4 linked regions of the Caenorhabditis elegans genome follow. The protein of the gene in region 1 interacts with the protein of each later gene in a pairwise test. Each region holds a gene or a part of one and is shown on either strand. Other genes may lie near its edges.

The links.
Region 2: the proteins of R144.3 (region 1) and egl-43 interact in a two-hybrid assay, tested with the Caenorhabditis elegans proteins (one large-scale study listed by BioGRID).
Region 3: the proteins of R144.3 (region 1) and F16B12.6 interact in a two-hybrid assay, tested with the Caenorhabditis elegans proteins (one large-scale study listed by BioGRID).
Region 4: the proteins of R144.3 (region 1) and gmeb-3 interact in a two-hybrid assay, tested with the Caenorhabditis elegans proteins (one large-scale study listed by BioGRID).

Annotation. Positions count from the first base shown.
Region 1 is NC_003281.10:5,019,474-5,024,031, forward strand, and holds R144.3 (C2H2-type domain-containing protein), read left to right. Parts: upstream 1-2,515; 5' UTR 2,516-2,573; coding exon 2,574-2,643; intron 2,644-2,689; coding exon 2,690-2,728; intron 2,729-2,818; coding exon 2,819-2,975; intron 2,976-3,123; coding exon 3,124-3,301; intron 3,302-3,345; coding exon 3,346-3,494; intron 3,495-3,546; coding exon 3,547-3,634; 3' UTR 3,635-3,738; downstream 3,739-4,558. Other genes in the region: wip-1 (WH2 domain-containing protein), read left to right, coding at 1-62, 366-461, 721-863, 990-1,217, 1,266-1,335; mdt-11 (Mediator of RNA polymerase II transcription subunit 11), read left to right, coding at 1,753-1,890, 1,940-2,054, 2,103-2,416; R144.13 (Coenzyme Q-binding protein COQ10 START domain-containing protein), read left to right, coding at 3,851-3,879, 3,928-4,120, 4,181-4,243, 4,295-4,501.
Region 2 is NC_003280.10:9,952,734-9,958,529, forward strand, and holds the start of egl-43 (Zinc finger protein egl-43), read left to right. Parts: upstream 1-2,451; 5' UTR 2,452-2,452; coding exon 2,453-2,572; intron 2,573-4,277; exon of another isoform or gene 4,278-4,279; coding exon 4,280-4,381; intron 4,382-4,436; coding exon 4,437-4,567; exon of another isoform or gene 4,568-4,614; intron 4,615-5,796. UniProt on the Caenorhabditis elegans protein: Probable transcription factor, required for migration of the hermaphrodite-specific motor neurons (HSNs) from the tail to the gonad primordium during HSN cell differentiation. Required for phasmid neuron development.
Region 3 is NC_003284.9:14,100,343-14,109,078, forward strand, and holds F16B12.6 (DUF7747 domain-containing protein), read left to right. Parts: upstream 1-1,973; 5' UTR 1,974-2,016; coding exon 2,017-2,082; intron 2,083-2,251; coding exon 2,252-2,581; intron 2,582-2,635; coding exon 2,636-2,838; intron 2,839-2,885; coding exon 2,886-3,176; intron 3,177-3,241; coding exon 3,242-3,566; intron 3,567-3,613; coding exon 3,614-3,778; intron 3,779-3,827; coding exon 3,828-4,104; intron 4,105-4,170; coding exon 4,171-4,343; intron 4,344-4,602; coding exon 4,603-5,102; intron 5,103-5,157; coding exon 5,158-5,386; intron 5,387-5,436; coding exon 5,437-5,526; intron 5,527-5,578; coding exon 5,579-5,719; intron 5,720-5,772; coding exon 5,773-5,954; intron 5,955-6,008; coding exon 6,009-6,169; intron 6,170-6,244; coding exon 6,245-6,924; intron 6,925-6,971; coding exon 6,972-7,337; 3' UTR 7,338-7,571; downstream 7,572-8,736. Other genes in the region: F16B12.7 (Protein kinase domain-containing protein), read left to right, coding at 8,203-8,479, 8,522-8,709.
Region 4 is NC_003281.10:3,766,353-3,771,337, forward strand, and holds gmeb-3 (SAND domain-containing protein), read left to right. Parts: upstream 1-2,147; 5' UTR 2,148-2,195; coding exon 2,196-2,336; intron 2,337-2,551; coding exon 2,552-2,726; intron 2,727-2,776; coding exon 2,777-2,873; intron 2,874-3,054; coding exon 3,055-3,251; intron 3,252-3,306; coding exon 3,307-3,495; intron 3,496-3,565; coding exon 3,566-3,897; 3' UTR 3,898-3,976; downstream 3,977-4,985.

The sequences.
Region 1 (4,558 bases):
TTTCAGTTCCAAGCTCAAAACCGACTCCACCTCCACCGCCACCAGCTCAGCAGAAACCATCGGTTAGTCATTGAGAAATGATTTTTTAAAAAAGAAAAAAATAACTGTTTGGAAGTGCTAAAGAATTACCAAAATTCCGCAGAATAAGTCATCTTTTTTTCTTAATTTTATTCGTTTGTAAAGTTTTGCATGAGTTTGAAATTCGATGTTTACGCTTTCGAGAGATTGTAAAAAAATAAAATCGAAGGATTTTTAAAAAGAAACTTACAACTTGATATATTAAATTAAGCATTTCTGTGATTTGCTGTAAAATGTGAATTAATATTTTTTGTCCAATTGTATTTATGTTTTAGTGTTTCTGTCAGTTTCAGAGTGATCGTGAACAGTTCCGAACGATGAGACCTCTACGACCAGCAAATGATGTGAAACCGACAATGTATCGACGAAGTGGAAGTTCAGAGGTTTTTTTTGTTATTTTGTCGTTTTGCAGTGTTTAGTGGTTTTTAAAGTTTCCTTATGTTTTATTCTCCGGAATTATATTGTGCGCCGAGTCTTATAGACTCTGCGTCTCACCCTCTGACAATATGATAAGCATGAGAAGTTATGTAAAGGTAGGAAGAATCGTTTCGCAATAACTAGAAATTTATAATACCACTTTATGATCTAGTTATTTTGTCCAGAAAGGTAACACCAGATGAAATAATTTTTATTTAATTTCAGGATATACCGCAAGCGACGTCGGCAACCAGACTGGCACGTCCATTAGCTCCTCCGCCAGCTCGCCCAGCTGCACCACCACCGCCAGTACCAACGCCGTCCATAGCACAAATGTCCAGCAGATTCCAGTCGCCAGCGATATCACGGTTAGAAAAATTAACGATTTTTTGAATAACAAATAATTTTAAGTTAATAGTTTCGAGTAATTTCATGTGTATGTTATCAAATTGTTTTTTTTTAAATTAAAACCGGCACAAATCGAACATTTTCAGGACTCTTGATGATGCTCCCCCACCACCTCCACGAATCGCTTCAAAAACATCAGTTGCTCCAACATCATCTCGGGCTCCACTTCCCCCGTCTTCTTCATTTGCACCTTCAATTTCAGCATCTCCAGCACCTGCCCCACCTCCACCTCCACCGCAGGCTGCTTCACCGTATCCTGGAATGAAATCAACTGCGACTGTCTCAGCGAACGTTCCATTTCATCCACTTAACAGGTATTTTTTAAATTCATTTTTTTTTCTTCGCAATCTTTTAAATTATAGGTTCCACTTTCTACCGCTTTCTCAACTGCCACCACCACCTAAAGTTTCGTCTGGAAGTATTCGTGCCTGATTTGGTGCTGCCAAAATGCCTTAAACTATTTTTCTCATTCTCACAATGCTCATGACGTTTCTTTCCATCAAAATGTTTGTAAAACTATTGAAAATAGTCCGTCAATCCCCCAAACCCGTTAAATATAAAATTCCCACTGTGATTTGATGCCCCCATTTTCACTTTCCCCTCTTTCATTTATATCCAACGCATTTCTAAATGTGTACCACTCCCGATTCTATTATTTTCTCTTCGAATAACATAACCTGTTTCTAGTCCCATTTTTTCCTGGGTTTCTTCATGGTTTCTCAATAAATCTGTGAAAATTGTCATTCAACTCTTGTTTCTAACGAAATTTATTTGTTTTTATCATTTTCCAAATATCTTCACAAAACATATATGTTTATAAAATATATTTAAAACTCAAAAATTGCAGTTATGGAGCCAAACCCATCCGATCCTGTTCTAACAGATCGGATTCAAGCAATCGTGACGACTGAAAAAAGTATTGATGAGATGATGAAGTGTGCTCGAGAAATTATTCAAGATTTGGGAAAAGAGAAACAAATCGGAAAAGTTTGTTAAAATTTTGAAGTTAAAAAATATAGAAACATATTTCTTTCAGAATAAAATGGAAGATAATGCGAACAATTTCAAAAAACTGATAACTCAAGTGGAAAATGAATTGAGCGCTCAAATGCAATACTTATCGCATGTTTGTGTTGGATCATCACATCAAGGTATTACTCATTGGAAATTATTAATTTATTTCTACACGTACTTTTCAGGATCAACATTCGGTGTACTTCAAAACTCACTTCTCGCTCAATCTGGACTTTCTTCTCTTCATTCGGAACTTTTTCAAATCGTGAGATATCTTGATCCAACATCAGATGAACCACAAACTACAGAAGAAGATGAGGAGGACGGATCCGATGATCTGAATGAAGATGGAGCAGATGGTGCTCCATCTTCGACAGTGACGTCATCGACTACTGATGGTAGCGGTGGAGGTGATGACGCTGCAAGTAGCAGTGCTCCGCGAAGTCAAGAAGAAAGTGGAAGACAAATGACGGATGATGATGACGATATGGAACAATGATCTCATTTTTATGTATTTATTTATTATTATTATTACATTATCGTTTTTTTGCTATGAATTAACATTATCAATTTATCTATTTTTCGACTCAAATGGTTCAAAAATCCAGAAATACTTCCCGATTGTATAAAAGCCATTAAAATGTAATCAACTTCAGATGAAATCTTCATCGTCTTGGAAAAATCGGCCATCCTCGTCTTCTTATAGGAATCCTAAATTTTTCGGAGGTAACTAAAGTTCAAGAGAAATCATTTTTTAATCAAATAATTTCAGCGAATCCCTATCAAGTATCCGATTTGGGTGCATGTCAAAGTGAGTTTTCACTTTTTTTGGAAACAATTTATTCACAATCAGCTCTTACAATTTGTAACATCACAGAAAAATTATAATAATTTTTTTTAGGTTACGGTAACCAATCGCACCAACCTACTGTGTACGATGTAACTTACATTGAAAATCTGCGAAAACGATTCAACAGTCAACAGGATGAGCGGAGAAGTGTCAGAAATAATGAAAAATTGGGAAGCGAGACACGGCATATTCACAGAAGACTAAAAGAGTACGATTTTGAACCAAAAATTAAATTATTCAATTTCAGAAATCATTAAGCAAACAATCGTGTCGAGACCGGGTACAGTATCTTCGGCACAAACATTGCAAATTTTCACGTCTGGATAATATAAATCTTTAAAATCTCCCTTTTTCAGAAATACTCAGCCATGTGATCTGAGTACTCTCACCTGTCTTGTCGGATGCTGTGGAAGATCATTCGAACGAATCGAGGTGCTAGCATTCCACGTGTCATATGCTCATCAAGATGTAATGTCTGCTGAATCAAACAATTTGACATGCTTGTTGTGTGGAAAGAAATGGACGACCGTTCGAGTATGCTATTATCAATTGCTTCTTCTGAAAAATAATACTTTCAGAGAAAAATAATGCACCTTTCACTTGCACATCGAGAAATCGGCGAAGAGCATAACAGTCAGTGTATGCTTCAAGTGGAATCGGTTATTGCTCCAAATGCACCAAAGGCTCGGAGATTGGTAAAGGCTAGGATGGCTTATGATGATAATAGGTTGGTTTTTGACTCGATTATAATTTATTTTTAAATTTTCAAAATCTTTCAGACCGCCTGGTGACCCTAAATATGATGGATTGGATCCCTTCTTGGAAAGTGATAATCCCGAAGATGATGAATATACTTATGACACTTGACGTTGTTAATTTTCATGAAAAATCCTAATAAACGGGTAAATTCTGATGATTTTTTCCCTGATTTCAATTGATCCCTTACAATCGTATAAATCGAGCCACTAAATTTTTGTATCTGTTCTCATGAATTTTTTTTTGAAAAACAAACTTATCAAATAGATGTTATTGCGTCGTCTCGGGCAAAACCTGATCCTAAATCAGAGAAGATTTTCCAGTGAGATGGCATACTCGGAAAAACGATTGATTGGGTAAGTAATTTGAAGTATTTAGACGTCGAAAATTATTTAAATTTTTAGATTTTCCCGGGACGAAATGTTTAAAGTCGTGTCTGATGTATCCGATTATCACAATTTTGTTCCATGGTGTCGGTCGTCTACAGTAACCCACGAGCACGAAAGCTCACAGATTGCGACGCTGGAAATTGGGTTTCCACCACTTTCAGAGAAATATTCGAGTCGTGTGATTCACATTAAGCCATCTGTTGTTCATGTTAGTTTATTCAAAGATTTCTAAGAAGGTTTCGGTTTTCGATATTCTATGTGTTTACAGTCTGTCGTCATAGAAAATGATAATCTCTTCCGCACACTTGACACTACGTTCCGGTTTGGAAAAGTTCGTTCCATCAATTTTTGTTAAACCTCTATTAACGTTCACCTTTTTCAGGGAAAACCATCTGTTGAACGCTCATGTACTCTTCACTATGACTTAGTTTTTGAATTCGAGTCAGCTTTTCACTCAAGAATCGCTCATCTTTTCTTCGATAAAGTCGTAAAAACTATGGTTTCAGCATTTTTGCACCGCGCTGAAAAGCTTTATGGACCACCGGAATTCCCACACTCACCACCGCAGGTTTTACAGTACAAATCTTGATTTTTTTAAACTTAGTGACACTGTAATCAGAGTATTTATTTGTAAATTTTAAATTTT
Region 2 (5,796 bases), on another chromosome or scaffold:
AGAGACAGACACACATGGGAAAAGCACAGCTTCTTCTTCTTCTTCTTTTTTCTACATCGTTTTCCTTCATATTCATGCTCAACTGAGCTCATCATTACCTTTCCCATCGGTTCGCAACCACGCCTCTCTTTTGCTTCTTCCTCTTCTTCCGGAGCAGCGACTGGGTGCCTCTTTAAAATCTCCGTAAAATGGACGTCTAAATGCTTTCAAGTGTGAAAGTGACTTCGAGACTTTTAGGTTTGGGTAGATGGCAGTAAATAATGTCATCTGATGCGTCATCCTACCTTTTTGCTACCCTCTAGATTTTACTATTAATAGGCTTAAAAATGCCGCCTTCGCGTGTGCATACCACCAAATATATAGATCTATTTCCACTTCAAATAGCTCTGTTGTCTTTGGTTTTCTTTAAAAATTGTCAACTAACAAAAAACATGCAAAATTACTATATTTTAGTAGTTAAAAAAATAACCGCCAAAATATGGTGATGGGGGTGCACGTCTAATAAGGAAAATACGGTAAGCGTAACTTTGTGAACTTCAAGCACCGAACTTCACGTTAAAATTCAAAAGAATAGACAGTAGGCAGCCTACCTTTTGGAAAATTCTCTGGAAAAATCGTCTTCACAAAATTTCCAAACTATCTGATAACACTCATTCGATGGGAAATTGTCACTTACGCGAGGTTTTTTTTGCCTCCGATTCAGAAAAAAAGTTCCATTTTTTGTTATCATATCATTATTATCAGTTCTAATGGCACATCATGTGTCAAGTGATGAGCACCATAACTTTAAATTTTCAAGGTTTTCGAAATATTTTACTCTTGTTCAACAATTCTTCATTTCAAAATGTGACCGTTTTCTTTCTACACTTATGACACTTTTAATACTGTATCACTTGAATGTCTCTAACTTTTTTTCCATTTTCCTCACAACTTTTCCATTCTTCTATTTTTCTGTAGAATGGACGAGCCCACCTTTTATTACTCCTATATAAAAGCTCTTCTCGGTGCGCTCACCTGGAGCTATGAGGAGAAGAAAAACGGAAAGAATAGAAGAAAAGAAGCGGCAATTTTGTCCCGTCCCTTCTTCCAAAAAGATGAGGACCATGAAGAAGAAAAGCGCAGCACATCCGTCAGAAGAAGACCACAATTGGTGGAGGGGCACACCTCTACTTTAAAATAGCTCCCATTTGCTCGCTTTTACTGGAAACTCTGGGGTCACTGATTTTTTGGATGGTTCTAGACTGTCCTCAAATGTATAATTTCAAAGCTGCGGCAAACTGCTACACCCTGTTGTATTTTCCGTCCAGCAATTTACTTCCAAAAATTCAAACTAAGTCAATAGTTGTTATAGTTTTTAAGTTGGTCTTTGATTATTGAGCAGTTCGGTAAACTCGCAGCCGACCTCGATGGAGTCTCGCGATAGCCTACTCCTGGAAAAAACGTTTGTCTTCTGCTTTCACCTCATGATATCAGGAAACTTATTACAGACATTCAGCCGACAAATAAACGGCTTGGCTTCTACTAGAAATGCTCAATAGATTCTAATTTAGTAGGTGTAGATATTTTCACTTTTGTTTATTTTTCTAAGTATCGAAGTACATATGTTAGAAAGTAAATAAAAATTGCTATTCTACTTTAAGAATTTTCTATATTAAAATAGTCTTTAGTAACGTGGGGTTTTCGAAACTTGCAACTTTTCAAGTGAAGATGCTCCTCACCTGAAGCATCCTGTCACTCTACCGATTGGCTGATGGGCGTGTCGTCTTCCATCTCTTCCACCCGCCCACTTTTTGAGACAGGAGAGGCTCTCGCTCCTCTCGCATCCACAAATGGAAGGCGCCTCTTTCCATCTTCCTTTCTTTTTTTTCTGGTTAGTTGAAGTATCCTTAAAGTATCTTGACGTTTTTACTATATATGACTTCTGGAGAGACATTCGAGTTTTTGGATCAAATATAGAATGTCAAATTTTGAAGAGCAATCTTCTCATATGTCAATTTTTCAATAAAATTGTATCCTACATTGTGGTGGTGTAGAACCCTCAAAAAATAATCTCTAAATTAAGAATTTCTTGATTTTAAAACTGACTAGCAAATTTGTCATGAAAAATCTCAAACGAATTTCCTACAGTTCATCTACCAAATGAATTGGGCTTGTAAACTTTTTCACCATCTACTAAAAAATTCAATAAAATAATAATCTCTTCCCAAACTACACCTCCCTCCAATATCTCTCAGCTTACTCCTAACTCCTATCCCAAATTCGTACATCTACCGTACCATTCCTCCTCCCTGTTCGTTCTCAATGACAAAGCCAGCCTTGAACAGCCATATCCAACTTTTTCGTTGCATTGTTCTCGTTCACAAGATGTATTACTCATCTTTCGCCCCAAAACTGTTCTTGTAATTTGTACAGTTCTTGTTTCTTCCCACGTACAGTTTCCTAAGTTTTCAGGATGAGCATCGACACAGACTTCCTCACGAGTGTTGAGGTAAAGGAGGATGAGCTACATGGAAATGTGCTCATTGCAGTAACTCAAATTGCACTCGGAAGGACCATCGGTGTGATTGATAAGGTGAGCTTTTGGTGTACAATTTTTACGCCGTAGACATTGTCTTAGAGGTGTCCGCTAGAAAAAGAAGTATAAGCTTATTCCCGGGCGTCTAAAAAACTCCACCGGAAAAAATACAGGTCGCTTGAACTGAAATATCTTATAGCTTGAGTAACCTATGAAATAAGCTTTCAGATGTTACACTCATATTTTGTTAGTTAGTAGTTATATGATAACAGTAATTTTAGGTTGTAATTGATAAAATAATGACTTTTTTAAATTAACAAAACTTTTTTTAAAATATTTTTACAAGCATTTTAAATTGATACCTTGGTGCCTAATCTACCTAATCTACAGTACCTTCGCCAACATTTTCAAATCCTTTCCTAATGATTCAACGTTCGAATTACAAATTCTTCCCAGAACCCAAAACCGCAATTATCGGGACCCTGAAATGTTTGGCGCCATGTGTTCCTCCCTGCTTCTTCTCCTCAAAAATTCCTTACACCTGTCTTTCCACCTTTCCCGCTCCCCCCGTCCATTACCACTTTGTTAACCTTGGGGGCACACTAGTAACCATTACATTAGGATTTACAAATCGGAACACCTGGTGCCTTGGTGGATGGGGGATCCGAGATGGGAAAAGAGACTCGATGATCGACTGTAATTGATGAATACAGTCGCTGATGGGAAAATGGATAATTGCTAGGTTTCCATAGGAAGAAGAATTTGAGGAGCTCTATCAATAAAGGAGAGGGATTGAATCCGTTGATCAAGCCGTCAATTTCCTACTGTAGCTGTCGTCGTTATCCAACTTCGTCACAATTCCATCATTGAATTAGTGTATTTCCCCCAGTTGTTTATCATCTAGAGCCGGCGACGGGTCTCTCACACTGATTGGCTTATCACGCACGCACACCACATCAAGCGGCAGTCACTCAGAATCAGAAGCCACTGAAGAAAAAGTTCATCATCTTTTGCGAGAGAGCCACTGATTGCTTATGGTTGCTTGGTGAAGGCAAACCACCTGCTCTCACAGTGGGAAAATTAGATTCCAGAAGCGATAGAGAGAGCGACAGCTCCTGCTTCTTCTTATTAGATATTGATGGGTTTTTGGGCTGAAGCTCACGGAGCACAGAGAGTGGTGAGTTGGCCGAAATGAAATAAGATTTTTTCGAGAATGAGTTTAGAATGTGTGCGATTTGTGAAATAATTGAGGGAGGAAACCCAGTACGCCCAACAAAACCCTTGTTGAGGTACTAAACTGTTTCTGCGAAGATCTGTGGGAAAATATACAGAGATTGCAGGAAAAATAATGCAGTCTTGTAACTGGTGTCACACGGTGTGACGCGCGTGACGTCATCTTTTTCCAGTCCGCAATATATCAAATGAAGTGAAAACTTAAAATTTGGATATGCAGTTTTGAAGAACGCATCGCCAAATACAGGGATTCTTGAAACTTTAATTTTTTATAACTATTCGTGTCCATTTTTTGTAAAATTAAGTCCGAAGAGACATCACCGTTGTCTTACAAGCGGTCATAGAGAAACCTACCCAGCGTGCCAATCGTTTCTTTAATCCATGTTATCACGAGGCCGTCGAAGGTCACCTTTCAGGCAGGCATACATTTTTTTACTACGATTTATGTAGATCCTAGATTCTACACTCATCATTTAGAAAAAGTACTAAAAACAATCACTTACATTAATTTTATAAATATTATTATTTTAGGCTACACCGAATGATTCGAATGCTCTTCTCATCTTGAACCTGATTAAGGAAGCTGATGACGGAGAAGATGCCAATATTTGTATGAGGCAGGAGGATAGAAAGGTGATTATTAGATAAATTTAATGAGGAAGTTATCTAACTATAAGAAAAATTTCAGACTTTTCTACAAACCAGTAAGATTATCAATATTGGAGAGCGTCTTCTTCTACAAAGACTGTCCGAAGAGGAGTGTGATGAGGAGGATCAGGATGATCTTGAGAATTTAATTTTGTTAAAAGATGAAGATCGGTGAGTATGACCCTTGAAAGAAACAAGAAAAAGAGCATGCTAAAAAGGTATGATTTTTCTCACCTTTGAAATTGGAACGATAACTGAACAAGTTGCAAAAACTGTAATTTTCCGGAATTTTTTCTATGATTTGAAGTTCTGTGTTGCTATACATAGAAGGATGTTTGAATTACACATAAAACAATTTCTAAAAAGCAGATTGAGTATACCTTTAATTTTTGAGTTGTTGAGATCAGCGTTAAAAAATTTCAAACCGGTTTTGTCGGTCTTACACAGGCGAATATTCGAAAATAAATCTCGATTTCTAACGGAAAAGTAACGGAAGAAAGATGTGAATCTTCATGAAAATCTTCTGTCATTTTCTTCTCATCGTCCTACTTTCTAACTCCCGTCGTTTTCTCGATAGTTTTCACTGGCGCGGTGAAAGTAACGGATTTCCGATAAGAGCACATCCTTCAGCATCTCCAAGTGAAGCCCGCCCGCTTTTTTTGTGTCCCGTTCATTTACATATAGATTCTACCGCTTCTGGATGACAAATTCGTGTCGGTTTCCGGAGGAGCCCTTTTTTGGGTATTTGAGCCCCTCAAAGGAAATCGTTGATTTATTTTGAGGGGTGTGCATCGGGGGAAGGAAGCGGATCTAGATTTTGCATCTTTTTTGAGAATCAATCGTTTTTTTTGCGGAAAATATAAATTTTTATCTTTTTTTCCGAAATCTTTATATCGCTAACTTAATTTGTGTTATTACCATCTTTTCTATGTTTCTTAAATTTTTAGACGATGATTCCTTGGTATCCCAAAAGTTTAGGTTTCAATTTTTACGTTAGACCTTGAACTTGCCCGATTAGATTTGAAAAGTTTGGGTTAATTTTAATATTTAATAGATTTTTCTAAATCGTTATTCGTATCAAACTATCTAGACATTGCACTTTACACTAGAAAGAATAACACAAAATTCAACTATCAAGTTTATGAAAAAGCTAAAAATTAAAATGAAAACATATTTTTATTTTAGTCATGAACTTTCATTATTCACCACATTAAAAAAGAGTTCTGTAAATTTTAAGAACAAAAATTGAAACTACGGAATATTCAAAAAAACATAACTTCATGCGTGTTTACATTTTTTGATAAAGCCAATAACATCCAAGATTCCAAAACTGCCTAACTTAAAAAGCGAGTAGCCAAACTAATTGTGTTATACGGTTTTGCTATATGATAGTATTAAAA
Region 3 (8,736 bases), on another chromosome or scaffold:
CAGTCGTGGATTGCTCCACTTCCAAATAGAGGCTGGGTGAACCTAGGGGGTGAGACCGGATTTGAACTCGTGACCTCCAGATTGCTATCCGCCGGACAGAGCAAAACGCAACTATTTTGCAACTCGACTTATTGGGATTAAACTTACTTGAGTATGCTGAATTGTACGGCGGAAAACTGGAAGTTCCGGAAGCTTTTCACTTGGCAAGACAAATGATCGATTTGCTTCACACAATACATGATAGGGGGATCGTTCACTGTGATATAAAACCAGCAAATTTTGCATTTGGTCTCAATGAAAAAAAGAATCAGCTTAATGTATGTTACTTCTACCTTAAATGTTTTGTGAACTCATGATTATTTGAACAATTTGACACATATAGTCAATATAACTATACCTTTAGCTCATCGACTTTGGATTAGCAGAATCGTTTCTTGATGATAGAGGAAATCACCGAGAGGTACATAATCGCCATTATCGAAAAGGAACTTATGTTTACATGAGTGCCAATCAGCACCATGAACAATGTTTTGGTAAGAGTTTTTTGTTTGCTTTTGTATCAGCACTTCTGATTGAGAATTCAGCTTTTTCAAAAAAAATTCTATTAACAATACCAAGACGAAAGGTTAAACCAAATATTTTTTGTTCGAACTATCTAATTACAGGAAATACCCGAAGAGATGACATGGAGTCCTTGGTTTATTCTTTGAGGAAAATACTTGACCTCACTATGTGCTGGAAAGAAGGACGGAGTGTGAACAATGATGATACTCATAGAAACTATTTCAACTTGAAACAAGGCAATCAAAAAAGTTGTTCACTTTGTGGAATACAGCCGATTAACGATATGCTTCAATCGTGCCGCATGCTCGAATTCAAAGATGAACCCAATTATGAAGCAGTGAAGCAGCTGTTTGTCTTGGATAAAGCTATGTCAAAAGCGTTGAAAAATAAGTTAGTTTAATATGTTTTTAAAGATAAAAAAATCAGATTTCATCAAAAAATTTAAAATTGCATGTAAATAAAATTTTCACTGCCATTTTCAGAAAGCATGTTCCACCAAAAGCTACATTCGACATTTCTTTGGACGAGGATCAACAGGTTTCAATTTGATTTAATTTCGAAAAACAATGATAATTTTATATTTTAGAAGTTGATCGACAAATTCAATATCTACTTCAACGAAGAAGACTATGATGCAATGTGAAACTTCTTTAACCACCTCCTTTGCAGTTTAACAATTGTCAGTTAATCTAGAATAAATTTTTTAAACATGTTTTATAAATGTTACTAATGAAAACAATTATGGGTTTTTAAAGTACATACTTTGTGTAGTCTTGGGTGTCAAAATATTAATCTCCCTACAACTTTCTAAATTTTGCCATAAAAGTTTTTTATGGAGCACATCTGTTGCATTATCTGTTGCTAAATTTACTTATCTTGCACTTTGAGGATTTTTTTAAAATTAATGAGTAATAATGGCAATCACAACTTAAACCAAATGTCAATTGTACTCGAAACGTGTGAACGTGAGTTTTCTTTTTTTGTAGACTTTTCTATTTGTGAAAGGAGGGCGCCCAATTTAATTAGTACCACATTTAGGATGCAAAAATTGTAAATTTAAAGAAGGTTTGTAGAAAAATACGTAAGATTTTTGAATCTTGTCACTCAAATTACACATACAAGTTTATCATCCTCACCACATAGCCCTATTTAAGTTCTGCTAAATTTATTGGGTTGATTCTTCGACAATTGCCCAACATTGTCGATCACCAACAAACAATGCAAATACGCTCCAACTCACACCGATAGGGAGAGGGGTGTGAATGCGCGCGAAACAGCAAGTGAACGGTCTCTCCGTTTACCACACTCTCTTACCTCGTTTTGTCATCTAACGCGCTCTCTCGCCACTCGCCTTGCGCGTCAGCCGGCCAGTTATTCTTTCCTTCTTTTCACATCGTTTTTTTTCATATTTCAAGCTATTTTTTGTCAATTTTCAACTTATTCAGTTTAGAAATGCCTCGCCGAAACTCAACAAAAAGTGCTGCACAACCGTCCGAAGAAACGCCAGCCGGAGAAGAGGTAAAACTGTTTAGGCTTTGAAAATTTCCGCAATTTTTAGTCTGTAGACACCGATAATGACGCCATTGAAAAATTCTCTCTCAATTTAAAGTTGCGAAGCATTATGAGAGAATTGTGAAAACAAAAAAAAACAGATGAAGCTAAAAATGCAACACAAAATAAAATTCAGAAACCTCTGCCGATGTGTCCTGAGGAATCTGCAAAGGACACCACTGTACAATCGTCCAGACCACGGCGAAATATTCGCAAAAACACTCTATACGACAACGAGAACTATGAGCTTGTGAATTCAGCGCCTGCTGCACCTCCCGAACGGACTCCATCAGTTTCAAGAACTCCAAATAGGACCAGTGCTGTTTCAGAGGTATCTACTGGAACCGATAAAAACTCAACTGCTATGATGCCTGATATGCTGAAAGGAGCGAAAAGAAGAAAGATTCCTCCTCATGTTGCTGAAATGATGGAGACACCAGTTGCACATAGGGCGAACTCAAATCAAGTGAGAAACACAGAAAACCTTTGTTCTTAAATAATCCTTTTTTCTTAATTACAGACTCCAAAATTCGATGATCAGTTGATGACTGATGGAGCCAACCTGGAAGTTGCAATGGAATTTGAGGTTCCTCACAATGACGAAGGACCTCCAGTGCTCGGGCCATCTACTGTTTTTGAAACTGAACCTGAAAGTTACAGGGAAAGCGACGAAGACTATAGTGTTAATGACTTTGCTCACCCTCCAGATCTTGAAAGGCACCCGTACGTAAATCCATTATGTAATGACAAAACTTTAATTTTTTTTACAGATTGAGCAAGCGAAGAGGACGTCCACGTCGACCACAAGAGCAGCTGGAGACCAATGTTAAATTGAAACTGACCCGTCCAGCTTCAAAAGCTCAGCGAGCCCCACCAACTGAGCCAGTTGCTGCTAGAACCGCCACTGCTAATCAAAGGCATATTAAGCTATTTGAGGAAGAGTTGGATACAACCCCCGGCGGAGAGTCCTATGCAACCGTGGTGAATGGGTGCCTGACTGAGCTGCTGAGAAAGGAGCGGATTATTGATCTCCTCACAAACCCGGACGAAATTGAGTTGATGTAAGTGAAAAATGACAACTGTTGCAATGCGATATCAATAATCTAAGCACATTATAAATTTTCAGAAAGCAAGCAGGATGGTTTCTTCCAAGACCACCACGTCTTCCTCCACTTGTCACCGACAAAGTATGCTTCGCATTCTACGTGGATGGTAGTCAGCAGAAAAATGCTAAAGATCTCTCCAACGATGACCTCCGTCCGTGGAGTGTGACAAATGATCATCAGAACACGACTGGCGGCCCAAACACAATCAAGCCAAATGTTCGAAGACACCCGGTGGCTCGACTCAATGGCGAGCTGAAGACAGTCAAGCATGAGACACGTCTCGCTGAGTATCACTTAACGGAGTACAGCGCTAGATTACCTCGGGAGCAGAGACTGAGAAAAAAGGTAGCTAAACTGAAGATATTTGAACACAACATTGATTTTCTTTCCAGATTTTCTACCTGACCCGTGACAATCAAATCTTTGGAAATGTGCTTATTCTGTATGATTATGTGAATCCAGGAAATGCCCCAATCCCAGTATGCCTTCCTCATGGCAATGATCATCTGCGAAGAGCAGTCACAGATGATCAAGATGGATTTGACAATGATTTGCCGGTTTGTAATTATATAATTGGTTACCTCATTTATAATTTTATGCTTTCAGTTTGAGCCGCAACGCATAGAAGGAACCCGTGGAGCTGGAGTCTACCTCAGGTTGCGTCCGAACAAATTGGGATGGGCTCAGAACAAGAAAAACTTGCTGGATTATTTATTCAATAAAGTTGACATTCTGGATGAACTTGGCGCTCTAAACAATCGCCTCCCAGATCTTCCGCCACTGATTGAGACGGTCGGAGTCTTTGCATATTTTGTTCCGGCCTGTCATGTTGTCAACCAAATTCACCACGCTGCTGATGGCTTATCTCCATGGACCACTAATCGTGAGTTGCTGTTTGCGAAGCACCAATATGCGGTCGTTTAACCGTTTTAATTTTGATAAATTTCAGCAGGCGCTGGCGAAGGAACACCGACAGTGCGTGTGCGGTCAACAAAGAAGAACTTGATATTGGACGAAGCTCACAATCACTTTATGGTATCAAGAGACCAGAAAACTCCATCCGACTATATTCTCGTAGAGACAATGTCGACACTTGCCAGATGCAAAAGAGTGAGAAAGAGGGTAAGTTAACCAACAGTCCGCAAGTACCACGACGCACATTTGCGTACTTAAGTTTGCGTACTTAAATTTGCGTACTTAAATTTTGCGTCGTAAATCTACACCACACGCTGTGCAATATTTAACAAAATGAAAGGGCATACACCACCTGGGGTTGTTGCTGCTAAATTATCAGACCGTTGACGGAACTGAAATTATAGTGCAGTAGTCATAAATAATGTCATAAAAAATATTGTACATTGCAATTCTTCAATCATTTCAGGTTTTCTATATCCAACAAGCCGGCGCTGTTATTCATGGAAATGTCTGCTACACGTATGAGTTTGTTTACGACGGTCCGTTGCCAACCTTCTACCCACCATTGGACGCGAAGAGTTACAGTAGATGGTCAGGAGGATCACCACTGAAAAAGCCGGTCAATTCAATGGACATGCACTCTCACATGATGGTAGAGCAGGATTCATATGATATGATTCCTGTTGACGATGACGGAATCGTTGATGTCGTTGACGTTCACAAGGAAATGCTCGTTCAGCAGGAGGATGATCAGATGGAGAACCTTCTAACGTATCCCGATACGCTGAACAACGGATTTGATCCAGAATTCAATGATGATCCGATTGATAAAGCCGAGAATCCGAATGCATACTATGATGAGCCCCGTGTTTTGTCAACGGGTCACGTATACTTGACTGTTCGTCATAAAAAGTTGGTTACCGTCATGGATCATGTTCTCGAATGGATTGCAAATTCGAACATTGTGTAAGTTCTTGAAAATGTAATCAGTTTGATTTTCAACTATTTTCAAATATTTCAGTGAGGAGCGTGGTGTCCTGAACGACACGAAACCGTCTCACCCACCATTGGTCACCAACTCTAGGGCCTACGCCTTTTTTGTAGCCGGTACTGCCATATTCCCCCATGACATTAATCGCGACGACTTCTCACCATGGTCTCGCAACGGAACGCCTGATCAGCCGACCTGCTATCGTACAAAAGTTCGAAAGCTTGGAGTGATTTGCGATCCTCAAAATTCAACGTTTTTGGTATGGAATATTTACTGGCACTATTGTTTTAAACGTAAACTGTTTTTAAGCTGAAAGAAAATACCAACTACAAAACTTGTCCATTCCATCTCGTCTACTTGTATTCGATTAATCCAAAGGAGCCTAGACTGCGAAAAAAGGTGTTTTAAACAATGTTATTTGATTTTTATAAACTAATAATTTGGTTTTCAGATCTACTACCTGATGGAAACCCAATCAAAAATGGTTGTCAGTCATGCATTGATTATGTACGACTACAACCATGAAGGCAACATCCCACGTCTCAACGCTGGCCAATACAAGCCACTCACTAAGAGGAGTTACGCTAGAACCGTATGTTTCTAACATCATAAGATTTTGACTTAATAACAATACAATAATTACAGAATCATATGCAGCATGATTTGATGAATGATGTCTCGGAAGGCGAAGAGAGCAGAGATTGCCCATTCATATTGCCTGCAGAGACTGCTGCTGATGGGACGTTTTACCTACAGCTCGATGACTTGGAATTCTGGAATGACCGGAACCGACAGATTCAGTACTTGGTCAATCAATCTGATTTGGTGTAAGTTGATTGAAAGAAAAATAGAAAAGCTAAGCTTAAAAAAAGTAATTTCAGTGAACAACTCGGATGCCTCAACACAAAAGTTCCCGATCTTCCACCATCGATAACTGGAAAAGGAACATTTGTCTTTTTTGTGAACGGAGAAGAAGTCAACTTTAGATCATTGACCACAGATAAACTGACTCCGTGGTCAGAAAACACTTGCTCTAATCCTCGTAAGTCTTATGAATTTTTTACAAAAATTTTCATAGACGTGTTGAGTAACTTCCCGCAAGCTCCATTAGTTTCAGATGGAATAACCAAAAGGCCGAAATCATCAAAAACTCCGCTCGGATTCAATCGTCACAATCAACTGCGAGTCTGCAAGGGGAATGCTCTGGCCGTGGATCCGATTGAATTCCAGTTGCACATTTACACTGCAACATTGCCCCGCTGCACACGGCTTCGCAAAAAAGTTGTCTATGTGCAACGAGACGGAAACCAGTATGGACACGGTTTGATCATGTACAGCTACACTGAGCCCGGAGCTGTGCCACAGCCAATTCAGAAGACTATTCAACCTTCGACTGATGAATGGTTCAGCAGCCTTCCATCAAACATCAGAGAGGATGTGTTCCATTTGCTGAAAACTGCCCCAGTAAATGAAACAGCGAAGATAATTCATCAGGAACATGGAATTCATATTAGTCCAAATATGTTGTTCAGTCTCAAACGGCGAGAACTTTCTGGTTCTCATGCTGACAACGACACTTTTGTCACTGAATGGACCGGAGCTGATGGTGCAGGACCATCGACATCGGCTAAAACTGAGACTGTGGAAGAGGTGGTGATTGAAGAGCAAATTCCAAAAACAATCATGGGTCACGAAATGATGATTGGAGGAGACATGATTGTCGAGCACATTGAAGAAGTTGGAGACGTCTATGGGCAATCAATGATGAGAAGAAATCCATTTTTGGAGAAAAGCGTGGTTAGTGTTTGTATAATTGATTCGTTTTTTAAATTCTCAATTTTCAGACTACTGCTGGATTTGTTCGTGGATCTCAGCGATATGATGCTCTTTGGCGAATTGCGCAAAAACAGTTTGGTTCGGAGTGCATTGATGACACTTTTGACAGCTTGTTCCGACTATTATACGAAAAGAACGAGCAGCGCTTGCTCCAAATGATCAATGAGACATTCCACGTGGACATTTTCTCTGGCGACCAAGAGATTGTGGAGGAAGGTGTCGAATACATGCAAGAAGAACTTGTTGTGCATCCTGGTAATCATCTTGTCGGACACGAGGAACTGGGAAGACACGAGGAACACATTGAACATCCTGAAGTACAAGGCCATTTGGAACATGAAGTTATTGAAGCCCCAGAAGATCCTATGGTTTAAAATTATGATTAACTGGAACAGACATTGTTCGAAAAATCATATAACTGTAAATTAAATTGATCTTATAATATTGTTTTACCCTTTAAAATCCGTGTTATGTCATATCTATCTATTATTCCGTTTTACACCAAATGTTTTTTGCCACTATAGAATGACAAGGTGATCTTTTTTCTGTTCTCAGCAAATTGAAAATCAAACATAATACACTGACACAGATGAAGTTATAATAATGCATAGTAGTTTAAAAAAAGGTATTCGGCTGAATATCTGAATAACAACATTTTAATGTAAGGTGCAAAGCATGGATGTGCGGCAAATTTGCCAAACACGGTAAATTTCAAAAAAGTAGATTTGCCAAATTTTCCAAGCTCCGTAATTTTTTATGTTTGCCCCAGCTGCAAAGGAGCATACAACCCCCATGAAAACCAGTTATTGGTCTGTATTTTCACCCGAAACAGAAACATCTGAAAGGTAAAATTTGGTTAAGCAAATCCCTAATGTTTCAAGTCCGTTACTACAAACAACTCTGTGACCTAGATTCCAGGTTCTGTAAAAAATTTCAAACACGTCACTTTATGTGCAGGGTACTCACCGGTCTTCAATGATAGCCATTTATTTCAAAGAAATTGAAAAAAAGTCAAAAATTAAATCAAATGTATTTCACGCATTCACGTGAAATGTCAGTTTTGAAATAAATCATTTCTTAATTTTAAACTTACACTTTCCGCGGTTTTCTTCAAACTCTCCCTTTTCGATTTGTTTGAATTTCTCGGTTTTTCTATAGTAAATGTAATTTTTTTGAAATGTTTATTTTAGCTGAAAACCTAAGGGAAATTAGTTTACAATTACTGTATCACGTTTTCAGATGGTTGATTTGGTAGGAAAAGTTGTCAAAGAGTACTATGTAAGTTACTTAATTGGTGAAGGATCGTATGGAAGTATTGTTGCTGTAAACGATATGGAAGAACTGAACAAAGAAAAAGTAATTAAGCTTGTTAAATTTGTTCACGGGAGTCAACGAGAAAAATCATTCAAGACGGAGCTATCAGTTTTTCGCAAACTGGACTCTCTTGGTAATTCAAAAAGAAATGGATTTCCCCAATTTTGTGAGAATTTTCAAGTTGACGGATATTATGCAATTGGTGAGTTTCACCTTGTCCGATAACACTTAATATTTGTTTCAGTCTTAAGCGACGAAGGAGACAATCTTAATGACATTAGAAAAAGAAACAAAAATTTAGTTTTCAATCGTAAAAATGTCGCGACAGTTGGATGTGCAGTCTCCCGTTCCTTGAGTACTCTTCACTCCATTGGCTTTTTCCACGCTGATTTGCACGAACAAAATCTGATGGTTCCGGTTCCAATTGATAAGGTTATAATATAATTTTTTCAAACATTT
Region 4 (4,985 bases), 1.3 Mb from region 1:
AAACATTTACAAAATTAATTTTTTGCTCATTGTTGAGCAGAAGTTTTGTTCTGGAAATTTATATAGATATAGAGATTCATTTTTGTGCTCTCTAGAAATAATTTCATGTTTTATTGAACGATTTGAAAAGTTGCTCAAAAACTGTCTCAAATACCAACGTGCCGAGTTACACATGACACTCGGCATATTGCGATTCTGTAGCAGTTTTTCAGCAACTTTTTGAAACTTTCTAACTTGAAAAGCTTTGGGTGGCTTTACATTTGTCCAAAACATGGGACAACTTTACAACTCGTGGATTTGAATTTCATCTAACTATAATGTCACACTCTACACCGGAACTCTAAAAACAACGCGCAATGAGCTCCAATGAAACATCGCGAGACGTGTCCGAAATAGTGACAATTGAAAGTGTCTGTGTGTCGCCCACCAATTTATGATAAGTGTGTCTCATATAGAGGACAAATGCGATAAGACAGAGAGATGGACGAAGAAAAGTTGAATGGAGTTGTAGACGATTGGAGGTTCGGCTGGTGGGGAGGGACACATAAGGTAGGGGGGACCGCCTGTTTGAAAGGGGGGACTCAATGCAACAATAAACGTATTATGATTCATTAAGTTTCAAAACCAAGTAACATTATGGCAAGTATATTGAGGTAATGTAAATAGTGTCTCTCTCATAGACAGCTTATCAGCAAGAGAAAATGGAATTTGTTCTAAGACAGGCTGAAAGTGGTGGGAATCTGTGTTTCAAACTTTTTTTTGATACTTTTTTGGCCAAAAAAGTAAAGCAGAACATCTTTATCATACCTTAGTTTTGTAACAACCAAATTCGAAACTAAAACTTGAAAAACAAGCATTCCCACTATCGCTTTTACGATATCAACCATCTATTTGAACAAAAACAAAATAAGATACTATCATATTAAAGTTTGTTACTTTTGATACTGGGAATGAGCAAAAAAAGAGTTTCAGTTTTTTTGGGCGTGGATCCTAACTGTAGTATTTCAGTCAAAAAACAAGAAGAGCTTGCTTTAGTAACGCTACTGTACCGTACCATTACAATAAACTAGCCAGTATTGCGTAAGTACCCTGGATATGCCGAGATGGAGCCCACAATCAATGTCGCCTGCTCAATTAACAATTTTGAAAATTTAGGAAATTTCATAAATTTTAAAATATATAACTTCCACTTCGCGATTTTTCATGCACAGCCGCAATTCATTGAATAGGTATTCCCCTATTCACCCATTAATATTTTAAAATTAAAAAAATCATATCTTAGCTAGAACATAAAAATATATCTAAAAATTAATTCCAGATGTTTCTCCACTGCACATGAAAAAAAACAAGCAAACAGTTAATTTTCAAAACAAAAAAAAACATTTTAAATGTAAAAATTGTAGCTAGCTCCAGGCTCCAGTCATATGACGAATGAGGTAATCGTTGTTCGTTAAAAAGTATAAAATCACCTTCATTATCGGGCCTCTCATGGGTATTTAGATCATTGAATTGCGGTTTCAAAAAGTAAAAGTACAAGTCCGGGTCACCCACCACTTTTAATGGAATGTGGATATGCTCAAATACAGTGCTCATTGTAATGGGATGGCGTGGAGGATGATTTACCCTGTGTAACAGAAAAATAGTAAAAATGTTTAACACCGGATGTTTCAGAAAAAATCCCATTTCAAATAATTTTGCAGAGCATTTTTTTGAATTCTGTGTAATTCTTCACAACAAACGTACTGGAAAAAAATCTGGAAATTTTTGAATTTAGTTGGGTAAACAATTTTAGAAGCTGATTTTTTTTTCAAAAAAAAAGCTTCCATGCAAATTACCGGGCCTCGCAAGAACTTAAAAAAACTCTTATGAAAAACATTTTTTTGCTAGTTCAAAATGCTCTTCCGAAACTAATTTTTCTGCAGTCATCTATTTTAATAATCATATTGTTTGTCCCTAGTAAGGCTTACGATACCACAATACTTTTTGGATTTTTCTCTGCAATTTTTCCAGTATAAATGATATTTTTGATCATTGAAATGCCTTAACTTTTCAAAAAAAAAATCATTAATTTATTTTAAAAATATTCAAAAACACGCGAGAAGCCAACAGATCCAAGCTGGCGGAAAACTAGTTGCGTGTCAGAAATTATCGTGTCGCGTCGGGTCGCCCATCTTTATTCATCGATTACCTGAAAAATGTGTGACGACGATGATTTCGAATTCTCTACTCAACCCGAGTTCGGATCAACCAGTGAGATGAAAAACGAAGAGATGCTGGTTCCAAGTGATCCAAATTTCGAGATAGACGGGAGACGCGTTCAGGAGAATATGTATGATGTGAGTTGGGATGTGAAATTTTGAGACAATTTTTTTGGAAACAATTCTTCCAAAAATTGAAATAGTCTTGTTAGTCTCGGAAATACTTTTTTGGCTCGAAAAAAATCTTCAATTTAGTTTGAAAACTTCAAATGCACCTACATTGCTGTCTGAGATACGAAAAATGCCATTTTGGCTCCAATTAGCAATTCGAAAATAACAAATAAATATTACAGCAAGCATCGGAACTCAGCTATACTTACCTGGATACTCCATCTGAACATATCTGGACACCAATTGTACCTCTAAATGCCACCACGGTGCCGGTTACCTGTGGATATGTCAAAGGAATTATGCATCTCAAATTGTTCAGGTGCCCCGGAATTCGTCAGGCTTGCATCGAATATGAATGTATGGTGGCTTTTATAATGTGAGAGAATGAATTTATTCTGGAATTTCAGCACAGTATCTGACTCCGAAACAATTTACGGAACTTGGTGGAAAAGGGCGACAGAAAGACTGGAAGGCGTGTATTCGTGTGGAGAATGTTAGCTTGAGGTGAGTGCAGAAAGATCAATAAATTGTATGCTTTGGTTTAGGCTCAGGCGTATGCTTAGGCTTAGGCCTCGGTTTTAGGTTATGTGCTAGGCTTAGGTTTGGGCTTAATCGTAACCTTTTGCTTGGGACTGCTAGCCACGTTTAATTCTTAACGTTCCAGTTTTAATTCATTAAATTTCAGAACACTATTGGAGAACAAAACCATCGATTTCTATAATCACAAGAGTATCTGTCATGGACAGTGCCAAAGTCGCAACTACATGAACTCAACGGGCAGAGCTCCAGTTAACAAACGTCACCTCGAAGATGTTCTAGCTTCCGGAGATGATGCATCTGAGCCAACGGAGCAAAGTAGTGGACAAATTAGTGAAGAGCCAAGTAATATTTTAAAAATCATGGTGCATTTAATTTTAAGGAAATCCTATTTTTTCAGTCAAGAAAAGAGGTCGTGGGCGTCCAGCAGGCAAGAAAAACAAGGCAAAGCTGGAAATCAACTTTGTTGAATCAGAAGATCAGCTTGTTTTTGAAGAGTTCTTCCAGCCAGCTTTCTCAACAAGATCCCCAGCTCCAGAAAGACCTGTGTGCAGCCCAGCTCAGGATATTTACAGTTGTCTGCAAAATGGTAAGGAGTTTTTGCATATTTTCGAGTTTCACTGCCTCTACCTATCAAATAAACTTCCAAATGATTCCAGATCCAATGAGTTTCTGGTCTCAAATCAAGCGAAGCGGCTTCATTTCTCAATTCTGTGATGACATAATTGCCGGTGCTATCAATCTGAAACAATCTGCAATGACTCAATCCTTGAATCAAAATAGTGCATTTGTTCTGACTCGTGCCACATTTGCTCTTGGTATCCAGAAGCCGATTGTGAATCGAGTGCAATCGATCGAGAGAAATGTGAATGAACAGAAGAAGCAAAATGAAATGATGGAGGACCAGGGAAAATATCAAGAAGATGCTCAAACTGAAGCTGACGACTTGGATAATCAACCTAGATGCAGTTATCTTTTGGAGGATCTTTAATAGATTTTAATAATAATTATTTTTTGTTCTGTACTGTTCGTACCAGTACTAGTATTTAAATAAAAGATTTTTTCAAGTTTTAAGTGCTTTCAGAATTTAATCACAAAATTGTTCTATTTCCCAGAAGCTTCCAGTTCAATAAAAAAACTGACCTACAGGCATATAAATAACCACATTTTTTATTGGGTGATCTTGATAATTTTTAAAAATTAAAAATTAATATACGACTTGACAGACAAAAAATAGATTGACAGACGAAAAATAGATTGACAGACGAAAAAATAGATTGACAGACGAAAAAATAGATTGACAGACGAAAAATAGATTGACAGACGAAAAATAGATTGACAGACGAAAAATAGATTGACAGACGAAAAATAGATTGACAGACTAAAAATAGATTGACAGACGAAAAATAGATTGACAGACTAAAAATAGATTGACAGACGAAAAAATAGATTGGCAGACGAAAAATAGATTGACAGACGAAAAAATAGATTGACAGACGAAAAAATAGATTGACAGACGAAAAAATAGATTGACAGACGAAAAAATAGATGAGGCCCCACGAAAAGGGGAGCAGAACGAAAAGGGGATCTGCAAAAAGGGGATCTGCGAAAAGGTGAGATACGAAAAGGGGAGCTGGTACTGTGCCAAACGCACAAAACGCTTTTTTATTCTCATTCAACGCACGACTTTTTTTGTATTTTACGCTAAACAACACATTGTCTCGAAGTTGTCACCACATTTTTTATTGGGTGATTTTGTTAATTTTAATAACTTTGAAAATTAGTATCTGCCTTAAAATGAACTTTTTTGAAACTGTTTCGTCGGGGACTTGTTTCAAATTGTAAGCGCTTTCAGAATTTAATTAAAAAAATTTTCTAGATGCCAGGAGCTTCCAGTTCAATCAAAAAAACCCAATTTCAGGCATATAAATAACTCAATTTTTTTCCAAACTACAATACTCCTACAGCATTCATACAGTACTTCTACAGTACTACAGCTCCCTGTTCCTACAGTACTACTACAGTACCCTGACCATATCTCCCCCCTAACCCTTAACCAATATCCCTTCAAAACTTTGC